Linked DNA regions of Arabidopsis thaliana. The protein of the gene in region 1 interacts with the protein of each later gene in a pairwise test. Each region holds a gene or a part of one and is shown in the gene's direction. Other genes may lie near its edges.

The links. Proteins that work in one complex are often made in the same cells at the same time.
Region 2: the proteins of PP2A-2 (region 1) and TAP46 interact in a two-hybrid assay, tested with the Arabidopsis thaliana proteins (one study listed by BioGRID).

What each region holds. Positions count from the first base shown.
Region 1 is NC_003070.9:3,427,911-3,433,192, reverse strand, and holds PP2A-2 (protein phosphatase 2A-2), read left to right. Parts: upstream 1-2,268; 5' UTR 2,269-2,292; intron 2,293-2,556; exon of another isoform or gene 2,557-2,592; 5' UTR 2,593-2,755; coding exon 2,756-3,008; intron 3,009-3,364; coding exon 3,365-3,479; intron 3,480-3,598; coding exon 3,599-3,707; intron 3,708-3,786; coding exon 3,787-3,864; intron 3,865-4,048; coding exon 4,049-4,240; intron 4,241-4,314; coding exon 4,315-4,488; 3' UTR 4,489-4,715; downstream 4,716-5,282. Other genes in the region: SNL6 (paired amphipathic helix Sin3-like protein), read right to left, coding at 48-146, 234-414, 530-652, 807-1,033. UniProt on the Arabidopsis thaliana protein: Dephosphorylates and activates the actin-depolymerizing factor ADF1, which, in turn, regulates actin cytoskeleton remodeling and is involved in the blue light photoreceptor PHOT2-mediated chloroplast avoidance movements.
Region 2 is NC_003076.8:21,484,494-21,490,165, reverse strand, and holds TAP46 (2A phosphatase associated protein of 46 kD), read left to right. Parts: upstream 1-2,123; 5' UTR 2,124-2,296; coding exon 2,297-2,392; intron 2,393-2,535; coding exon 2,536-2,658; intron 2,659-2,949; coding exon 2,950-3,036; intron 3,037-3,155; coding exon 3,156-3,260; intron 3,261-3,366; coding exon 3,367-3,528; intron 3,529-3,611; coding exon 3,612-3,647; intron 3,648-3,731; coding exon 3,732-3,803; intron 3,804-3,895; coding exon 3,896-4,176; intron 4,177-4,256; coding exon 4,257-4,512; 3' UTR 4,513-4,849; downstream 4,850-5,672. Other genes in the region: AT5G53010 (calcium-transporting ATPase), read left to right, coding at 1-3, 106-209, 414-459, 654-782, 861-962, 1,052-1,128, 1,216-1,267; AT5G52990 (SNARE-like superfamily protein), read right to left, coding at 5,160-5,672. UniProt on the Arabidopsis thaliana protein: Involved in the positive regulation of the TOR signaling pathway. Acts as a negative regulator of PP2A catalytic activity. Plays a positive role in the ABA-regulated inhibition of germination, probably throught its interaction with ABI5.

The sequences.
Region 1 (5,282 bases):
AGAAAATCAGAAGAATTAACACTCTGTGCAGTAATAAAAAAACATACCTCTTCGTAGACCTCAGAGATGGACTTTTTCTCCTTTCTATACAAGTTCAAGATGTCTAGAAACCGTTTATACGCATGTTCATCATCTCCAAACCTCGTCTGCAAAAGTAGAAACCCCAGTAAACCTTAACTGATATAAATCATCATTACCTTAGTATGCCATTTAGTACCATATTACATCCATACCTTAATCTTGGTGACGAAACCGATAGCGTCTTTGAAATCCACCCGGATCTTAGGCTTCTCTTCCTCTGGCAGAAGGGTTATTTTATACCCTTTGGGCAAGAAAGTATTAAAACCCAAAAGTAGGTCCCTGTAACCCTTGAACAACACTTTAATCCTTTCTATGACACCATTAGTGTCGATTCTGCAACCAAGATAAGACACCATGAGTATACGCAGTTCACAATGTGACATCCACAATACAACACATAAGAAAGGCAAAATGAAACTAAACAAGAAGAGAAGCGAAGTAAAAATACGTCTGAGCTTTGAACTCCTTCATGAGCTCCAGGAATGACTCATATTTCTCTTTATTGTCGTGAAAAATATCCTTCACAGCTTTGAGATACGTTAGGGCATCGATGGTTCGAGGTAGCTTGTTTCTGCATAGCACAAACACATGTAACTTTCAAATACTCTTACACATTTCAATTGCATCAAACTACATTGAAGAATATAACTTGTGGACTACCGAACAAATGTAAAATTGAAAAGAACAAACAATAAAAAATTGGGTTTATCGAGTAAGAGAGTTACGTTTCTCCTCGAGACGAAACTTCAGGCTTTCGCTTTTGAGTGTCAGTGTGAACATCTTCTCTAGCTCTCTTCATCTTCAGTCTTCTTCCACTTTCTCCCGCAGACTGATTTCTGGAAGAACAAAAAAAAGAGGCTTTTAAGAAGCCAAACCAAACTAAGAACCGTGGAAATAGTCCAAGCCAAGAGAAATAGCTCGGAATCGTTGTCCCAAGTAATAGATCTCTCATCGGAAAATCTTAAGAGAAATCACAAAAAACGAGGAAAAATTCTGAGCAAGAGATTTTGATTTAAAACCTTTGTAGACCGGATCACGTTACTCAAACGGTGAAGAGAGCTTCTTCGTTCCTTTGTTAGAAGATGAAACTCGGAAAGAAGTCGGAGGATCGGTGGAAACGTTGGCCGCCGGAGTTTTAAAGTAGAGAGATTTAGACGGAAACTTGGCAAAATGAAAAGCAAAAGAAGCTTCCTTTTGGTAGAAAATAGATGATTCAATGGTGAGATTGCTTCTGATTAGGAGCAATCTCTCTGTCTCTCTATGTGTCTCCCTCTCTCGCTGATTTTGGAAGCGGAGGAGGGAAGAGGGTAAGGCAACGGAACGAGGAAGAAGAAGAAAAAGAGAGGAGCTTGTTTTGCTTATATACCCAAAGAAATCTTCATGTCTGTATGTAATCAGAACCTTCGGAGCTAAATGGAAGGTTACGTACGAAATTGGTTTATTTTTCAATTCCAAATCAAACTTACCGGTTTAATATTATGTAAATCAAAAACCAAGTAAAAAGCAGAGTTAGGGTTTTTTTTCTTTCAACTTTCATTACCTATGCGTAAGTGAGGATTTGATTTAAGGTTATAAAAACGAAACATAATATTCCAGTCTATTCAAACTAAATCTGGTTTATTAATATTCGTTTGTAGTAAGTAAAGTATAATATCCTAATTTTACCTAAAAAGCTCGGTCACATTTTCTTACAAGTGGGAAGAATATGCAAGGGAAAAATGTTTGGTCTATGAATTTTCATACTGTGTTAGATGATAAACTTTAATTAGGTTTGATTTGCATCAATTTAATAGCAAAATTAATGGTTCAAAATGTTTTCTAAATATAAATATGTATTGTCAGAGCTATCATCAATGGGCGTTTGGTCTAGTGGTATGATTCTCGCTTAGGGTGCGAGAGGTCCCGAGTTCAATTCTCGGAACGCCCCTTCTTTTATTTTTGTTACCATGGGCCGCTCTACCAGATTCTCCAGGCCCATTTGTTCGACGAGGAACTTGCCTCATAGTCGACGATCATGTCAACATTAAAAACTTAAAAGCAAATTTGTCAAATCTAAAACATAATATGAAAACATTAGTTGACTAATTATAATTACCGGATGAGAGGAGGAGATGATTTGTCCATATATACTTATCGTTTAGACAAGTTCAAATGACAATAGCTCTGCTCCAACTACCCACGTGTAACGGTTCACAATTCAAATCCGATCCGGTTTGGTCTCAATTCTCTCTTTTTTTTTTCATTTTTTTTTTTGATAATTTGACCGAAAACAACTAGAATTAAGTTGAAAACACCAACGAATTTAACAGAAGAAAAAACAACTAAAACTCAAAATTTTATTTTGAACCAAAGAAAAAAAACAATCATAAGTTTTATAACAATTGGCGAGACTAATAAAATTAACACAAAACCGAACCTTAACCGGGTCATAAAACATTTATACTTTGTCTATTTGGACACGACCCACTTTTAGTCTTTAAAAAAAAAAAACGAATATCCATTTTTTCTCAGCCAGGTGAGAGAGAGAGACATCGAACTATCGAAGACCAGAGAAGCTAGGAGGATTTGATCTCTCCGATTCGGATATCTTAGCTCTGGCCGATAGATTCTCCGGCGATTCATCTTCTTTATCCGCCGTAATTTTCGTATATAGGATCGGTGGTGGCTTTTCAAGATGCCGTCGAACGGAGATCTGGACCGTCAGATCGAGCAGCTGATGGAGTGTAAACCGTTATCGGAGGCGGATGTGAGGACGCTTTGCGATCAAGCGAGAGCGATCCTTGTCGAGGAATATAATGTTCAGCCGGTGAAGTGTCCTGTTACCGTTTGCGGCGATATTCACGGCCAGTTTTATGACCTTATTGAGCTCTTTCGTATCGGTGGCAACGCTCCTGATACTAACTACCTCTTCATGGGAGACTATGTAGGTCTGTCTTTCTTCTTCTTTCGATTTTATTTTTGGGGTTTTTACTTTTTTTTCTCATTTTAGATCTGTGTTTTTGGATCATTCCAAAATGGTGAATTCTTGGAAAAGTATCCACCTTTTTATTTATCTAGAGTGAGTTACTTGTGGGTTCTGTTTTTTTTTGGAATGGTAGGTACTGAAACTTCCCAATATAGAGACTTGTTGATGCTCACTTTCATTATTGCACTTCCCTTGAATTCTAGTCTTTAGATCCTTGGAACTTTAACCATTCGTTGGTGTACCATAAGATGGTGACAGCTAGATTTAGTTTAAAAGGAGTGTTGTTGGTTTCTCATTGTCTTGCTTTGTTCTTTGCAGATCGTGGCTACTATTCAGTAGAGACAGTTTCTCTATTGGTGGCACTAAAAGTGCGATACAGGGATAGACTTACAATCTTACGAGGGAATCACGAGAGTCGGCAGATTACTCAAGTGTAAGCTTTTGTTTTGAAATAAGCTTATATTTGAGCGAATCGTACTTTTCTTCATTGGTTTCTGGCTGATCAGCAAAGTACTATCCTGTTTTGATGCATGTTTTGCTTCTCTGTTTCAGCTATGGTTTTTATGACGAATGCTTGAGGAAGTACGGAAATGCTAACGTCTGGAAGTATTTTACAGACCTTTTCGATTATCTTCCTCTTACCGCCCTCATAGAGAGTCAGGTTAGAGCTGTTCTTTCTCAGTTGGTGTTTGATACATCTTTTTCTAAGTACAGCTTTTTGACTTCATCAAATTTTGTAGGTTTTCTGTTTGCATGGAGGGCTTTCACCTTCTCTGGATACTCTTGATAATATCCGAAGCTTGGATCGGATACAGGAGGTAACCTTCTTGTTCTCTGCTAAAGGCCTTAGTGTGGACTTAGTTGGAAGAGTTATGAGTCCTTCCTGGGTCTCAGTGTCTTGTCTCTACTTAAGATACAATTACAAAGAGCACAAACGTTTGGAATTTTTTATGACATCTTATTGTTCAGCTCTTTGAACTATGTATGATGTGTGATCTGTAGGTTCCACACGAAGGACCTATGTGTGATTTATTATGGTCTGATCCTGATGATCGATGTGGATGGGGAATATCTCCACGAGGTGCTGGTTATACATTTGGACAGGATATCGCAGCTCAATTTAATCACAACAATGGACTAAGTCTCATATCAAGAGCGCATCAACTTGTCATGGAAGGTTTTAACTGGTGTCAGGTATGAACATTCTTACGGCATGATTAGTCTCTCTCTCAGATTGAATCGTTGATCTCTCCTTTGTATGGTAACAGGATAAGAATGTGGTGACTGTGTTTAGTGCACCAAACTATTGCTACCGGTGTGGAAACATGGCTGCCATTCTAGAGATAGGAGAGAACATGGAGCAAAACTTCCTCCAGTTCGATCCAGCTCCTCGACAAGTTGAACCTGATACTACTCGGAAGACCCCTGATTATTTTTTGTGATTTCTCTGTTTTTTTTTGTGGTCCCGACCATATATAATTTTTTGAAGTTCCAGTTTTATTGCCTATGTATCATTGTAGATGTGCCCTTTTCTCTTCTTTTTTCTAAGTGGAGTTCGAATTTCCCCTAGAAAAAAAGAAACACATCATTTTTTTCTGTTGTTGAGGTGATTGCTATAAAAAAGTTTGTAGGAGAGGCTTCTATATCTATAAAATTGAGCGTTTGTCTTCTCATTTGTGCCTAAATACCCCAGAATAAAGACTTTGAAAACTAAATGCATTACAAACAAAGACGCCAAACCGAAGATTTCTACATATTTCCAATACTGGCCTAACAAAACTTCCAGTATGGTGTGACAGCCTAAATGTACAACACAACTCATATCTATTTTCTGCTTCTCCTTTCAATTCTTCTTTGATGCTTTGGCTCGTGACCTCATGCTGGCTCTTCTAGCCACATCCCACGCTTTCTGTGGTGCGTATATACCCAGTTGAGAAGCAAAGAACGGTTCATAACCAGGTGAGTCGAAGGCAAAACGAATGTGCTTTGAGATTTCCCGAGGCAATTGGGATATCGCATAGCTTCTCGCTTCTTCTGGTGTGAGCTCATTCGTTATCTCCAGTTGATCTGCATTGCTACTATCCGCCTTATGCATGTGAATCTCTTGAACTATCTGGTGTGAGCTCATTTGTTATCTTCAGTTGATCTCCAAGTACCTTATGTTTTTTTAATGAGTTGCATCTGTGTGACTCTGGAAGAACCATATGAAAGGTAAACTGTGTAGGGATGAAATAGT
Region 2 (5,672 bases), on another chromosome or scaffold:
CAGGTTCAAAATGTTATCCCTTTGTTACTTCATCATCTTGTTATCCAGCTTTTCCAAGATTGGAAACCTTTTCCCTAACCCAGTTTTTGCTTTTTCCTGATGCAGTTTCTGTTGGTTAATCTAATTATCGACATCTTAGGAGCATTAGCTTTGGCATACAGACCAAGATCTGATCACCACCTAATGGGAAAGCCACCGGTTGGTATAAGGTACAAATTCTGAATAGGATCAAGGATAAGATTTGATTATTAAGTCAATATAGAGTTGGCTTAGAAAGAGACATTAATGTATTGATGCTGAAGGTTTTGAAGAAACTGTTGGTTTTGCAATTCTTGTTAAAACACACTATCTGTTCTAGGTGAATATACACAAACTGATAGTACATATGCATGTGTACATTTTTTGTTTTTCAGAGATCCTCTTATAACCAAGACGATGTGGTCCAAGATGATAATTCAGGTATGTAGGGTAAAATCCTCGATTGATCATGTGTGGACGTTAATGTCAGATTAAGTATTTCACACCTTCATAGTTTCCAAGGAGCAAATACAATTCCTTGGTGATATTAAACTAATTAATTATTTAGATTAGAGACAAACACACTGGTTTGGAGACCTCTAATAATGCTTGTGTCATGAAATACCTTCCTCCAGGTATTTTACCTAGTGCTCTCGCTGGTACTCATAAATTCTGAGAAGCTACTGAAGCTGAAGCATGGTCAGACGGGCAATGCCGAAAAAATGATGAACACATTGATATTCAATTCCTTTGTCTTCTACCTGGTAATATCTGATTTTTTCCCACTCTTCTAATTAGAGTTCATATGTTGATCATCTCTCTATCTTTCTAAAATAACGCAGGTTTTTAATGAGTTTGAAATCCAAAGTGTAGACCAAACCTTCAAAGAAGTCCTTAGAGAGAATATGTTTCTCGTTACAATAACCTCAACTATCATATCTCAGGTAAGTCCTCTTTACAAGTGAACACAACATTTGTCTTTTCTTATATATCCCTAAACCATATATACTCTCTTTCTGTTCTTTCATATCAGATAATCGTGATCAAGTTCGCAGGCATTTTCATTGACTTGAAAAAATGGGTGACGACAAGTCTTTTGGGGTTACTCAGGTTCTGCTCATAAACATCCTCAACTACTTTCTTTAATTTTTTACTCTTCACATTTTTTCTCAATACGTAAATTTAACCTTTTTTCAGCCAAGTCGCCACTCGCTACCCTTACCCAGCCATCCAATATCATCGTAACTGAGATTTCTCTTGCCGTATGGCTCAATTCTCGTAAGAAGTAAGAACCATTCACTCCCAAAGTCTCCTAATGAATCGCATATGACTATCTTATTTTAGATCTGGCAAGTAGTTTCTCTCAACTTGCAGTTCTCATCTCAGGTCAACTTTTGAAGCATCCCTCTAGCTTTGGTCGCTTAGGAGGCTGTTGTTCTCTGCGCGGGTGTGCGTGAGAGATTAAATAATGCGGATTATTGTGCTGTGTATATAGCATACTACAGTTTATTCAGTCAATTCATTTTCCTCTTGAAGATATGTCGAGTGAAATGCGTGAAAGTCAAACATTTAAGTTCTGTATCCATTTCCCTTTCAAGCTATGTAGACTGTAATGGGTGACAGTCATATATAGTATATATAGTAAGCTCTGTTCAATCAATGCACCTCTTCGTTTTCGATTCATGAATTGTTTGTTGGATGTTCCTAAATCTTTGGATCCAGCTGATTCACCGCGATTGAGGTGGCTTTAGTTATCGGTATCCACCATTCCTTACTGCTATAGGTCGATCGAATCAATAACACTACGACAATTCGGGCTGCTTAGACAGCGGGTGCGATACTAGTTTATTCATACTCCTACTCGTACAAAAATCAAGAAAATTTCATCTCCATTCAAATTAAGAAAAAAAACAGTAAACATTCATATACCATAGCCACAATCACATTCGTGGCGGTTTTACACTACACCCGCCGCACCTGATCTTTGACTTGATATTTTTATACAACTGAGTCGGTTTTTGACTTTTGAGGTTGTGGACAGATCTAACGGCTAATAGAATTCGAGTTATCTACTTCACCTGACGCGGCAAAATCTCAACCGTCCCTTATAAAGCTCTTCGCGGTTAACATTTTCTCTCCTCTGTCTGTGTGTACTCGTGGTAAATTAGTCAGATTTCGATTTGGAACCCTAAAAAAATTCAAAAGACGATCCTCTTCTCGAAGAAACTCGATTCTTGTGGATTCGATTTCATTAAGGAATTTTGAATTGTTGCCTGTGATGGGTGGTTTGGCTATGGAGGAAATGCCTTTATCGGTGCTATTCGAGCAAGCTAGGAAAATTCATCTTGCTGCTTCAGAGTCTGGTGTTGATCAGGTGGAAGCTTCTACCTCTTTTTTATATACAGATTCGATTAGGGTGTTTATCTGAAATGGGTATTTCGAATCCGAATCGCGAGTTTTTACTGAATTGGACATTTCCGGGGATGCTTAGTTCATTCTTTTCCTTTGGTTTGTTAGGATGTTGTGAAGAAAGGATGTGAGATGTTTCAGAAGTGCGAAGATATGATCGGGAAGCTGGCGCTGTTTTCGTCTAACGAGACTAAAGAAGATATTAGCACCAACAATCTCAAATATCTTTTGGTATGCAATTGAGTCTCTGTTGTTTGGATTTTTGTAATTTGTTTGTATTCTAGTTTTGTTATTAGTTTTGGTGTGGAAAGATCTGAAAGTGAAAAACTTTAGCTTGTCCTGATGCTTCTAGTTTTAGCTACTGACTGAAATTCAAAATGGAGTCTGAGATTTTGGATTGTAACGTTTTCCATTGAACTTACTCTGTGTGGAGACCATAAGATTGTGTTGAGATCATAAGATTGTGTTGCGAGTTGACATTTCTATAAAGTGACGAGGGATTATATTGTCTTGTGATTATAGGTGCCTTATTATCTTGCGGAGTTGACAGAGAAAATCATACAGGAGGACCGGATTCAGATTGTCAAAGCCTCGTATGCTAAGTTGAAGGTTAGTTTTCTGCTGAGTGTTTACATGTTTTTGTATCCCTTTGATGCTATTGCAAGTGGGAATGAGCATTTGGTTGGATTTTTTTTGAGATTGATGTATAGTTTTGTTATTGTGTCTAGGAGTTCTTTTCGTTCTGTGAGGCAATGGAGCTTGTTCCGGATGAGGAGTTGGAGGCTTCTTCACGAGGAGGTTCTGGTGCACCTGCTGATCGAAGGGCTCTCAAGGTAGATTCAGCCCTGTTTCTTTTGTTTATGTTCTGACGAGAATGAAGTTTAAAGTTTTCGGATTTTGAAATGCGTGTTGTGTCTTCATGATTATGGTACTTTGTAGATAGCTCGGTTCAAACGTCAAAAGGCTGCAGAGGCAAAGCTTCTTGAAATTAAAGAGAGGAAGGAGCGACGTGGACGTTCCACTAAAGCATCAGCTTTGTCGACTCCGGTTGAATCTGGAGAAGATGATATTCCAGATGATGACAGCGAAGAAGAGAGAGAGGTTTGTCCCACTTTTTGTTTTGCTGCTTTCTCTAATTCGATTTTTTCTTCTAAGCTTTCTTGTCTTATTGCTTTCCTCTGCAGGCCTGGCTCTCCTCAATTAACTTGGCTATTTGTAAGGTTTGTCTAAAAATCATTTCATTAGAACCCTATGATTTGTCACAAGTTGAGGAGGCATTATCTTATGATTGAACTTCGTTACAGGCTATTGATCTGTTGGAAATGCTAAAGAGAGAAGAGGAAATGCTCTCTGCAATAAAGGAAAGACAGTTGAAGGTAGCTTACCGTGGTGTTAGTTTTTTTAGGTGCGAACAAAACTATTTGATAAACATATAAAAGAAGAAAACGTGTTATGATATTTTGATCAGGATGGAGAGGGTGGATTTTCTCGGGATGCTCTTGATGATCGTACAAAGAAAGCTGAAACCTGGCACAGAGACGCTGCTGCAAGGATACAGTACTCTAAACCGGCACAACCAATCACTTGTGCCACATTTGCACAAGATGTGTTAGAAGGAAGAGCTTCGGTATCACAAGGTCACGAACACAAGAACCAACCTCTTATATTCGGTCCAGCAAGCATCGTGGGTGGACCGCTCTCTACCGAGAGAGAAAGAATGATAGCTCAGGTCTTCCAACCAAGTCACAGGTAGACACAAAATATTGCTCATTACAAAATCTTAATCCTTTTTGAGATTTAAAAATGGTGATTAAACTTGGGTTTTGTAGGATGCCAACAATGTGCATAGAGGATGCTGGGTTAACAGAGATGAACATAATGAATGATTGGCAAGAGCAGACGAAAAAAGCCATTGAAGAAGCAACCACCTCATGGTACAATGATAAACCTCTAAGAAGAAAAGAAGAAGACGAGGAAGATGATGATGAAGACGAAGAAGCTGTGATGAAAGCTAGAGCTTTCGATGATTGGAAGGATGATAATCCTCGCGGTGCAGGTAACAAGAAACTCACACCTTGTGGCTGAGACTAGAGACCGAGACACACATTATTTAACACTTTCTCCCTCTCTTTTGTTTCTTATTTCCAAAACCTCTTCGTTCACTTATTATAATGTCTGTAATGTAATCATCTTTCTACTCTTAAGCCTTAGACTTACAGATTTTGGATTCACGGATTCACTTTCATTTTCGTTGGGAATATTATTTTTAAATACGCCGACTACTAAAGATACAATGTATATATCTAGTAAAATACTAACGTGTGACTGGATCTGAGACCATCTTTTGTTGTCCTCTATTATTGTGTAACCCACGTTCAATCACAGCACCATTTATGGAATCAAACAACAAAAGAGAAGCGAGAAAAAAAAAAGAGATAATAACAACACACATTTTGCTTGTGAATGATTTAACTTCCAAAGTACAATTAACAACATCATTAACATGTAAACCAGGATTCAATCTATACCCTAGTTTTCCTCCTGGAAACAACACTTTTTGCGACTTTAAAAATCAAAGAAGATGAAAAAAGTTGACAAGAACAGAGAGATAACAAAAGGGATCAGATTTGATCCAAAAAAACGGATACCCAGAAAAAAGATGTCAAATGATCAAATTTTGATGCAGATTCAAAGAATATGAATTTGGAGATGTACACAGATGATGATAACTTTTACCCTTGAATGCATTGAAACCCTTCACAAATCCAAAGCCAAATTCCAAACAAAACAGCACAGATGCAGAAATCAAACATCAACACAACCCAAACATGTTTCTTCCAAATCTGTTTCGCCTTTTGTCTATGATGATGATCACTCAACAAACCATTTCTCAGTTCCTTGCGTAAGACTCCATTATTACCATTCCCACATAAATCAACATTCTTCTCTGATATCTCCTGAATCGAACCAACCTCACAAGAATCTCCCCCTTTTGCTTCATTATGCAATCTCTTCTTCTTCTTCAACGCCTTCAATGGTTTCCCCAAAAGTGGCATCAAAGCAGCTCTTCTTCCTTTAGATGAATCAATACTCGGATTTCGACTCTCTCTCGCTACACTCCTCGGTGATCCAACCAAATCCATATCCAATAATTCCAAATCAACAACACCAACAATCTCAGCGAAAACTGGATCAAGCTTCAATTGAAGACAATGAGAAACAGGATTAATCAGCGTCTCAACATC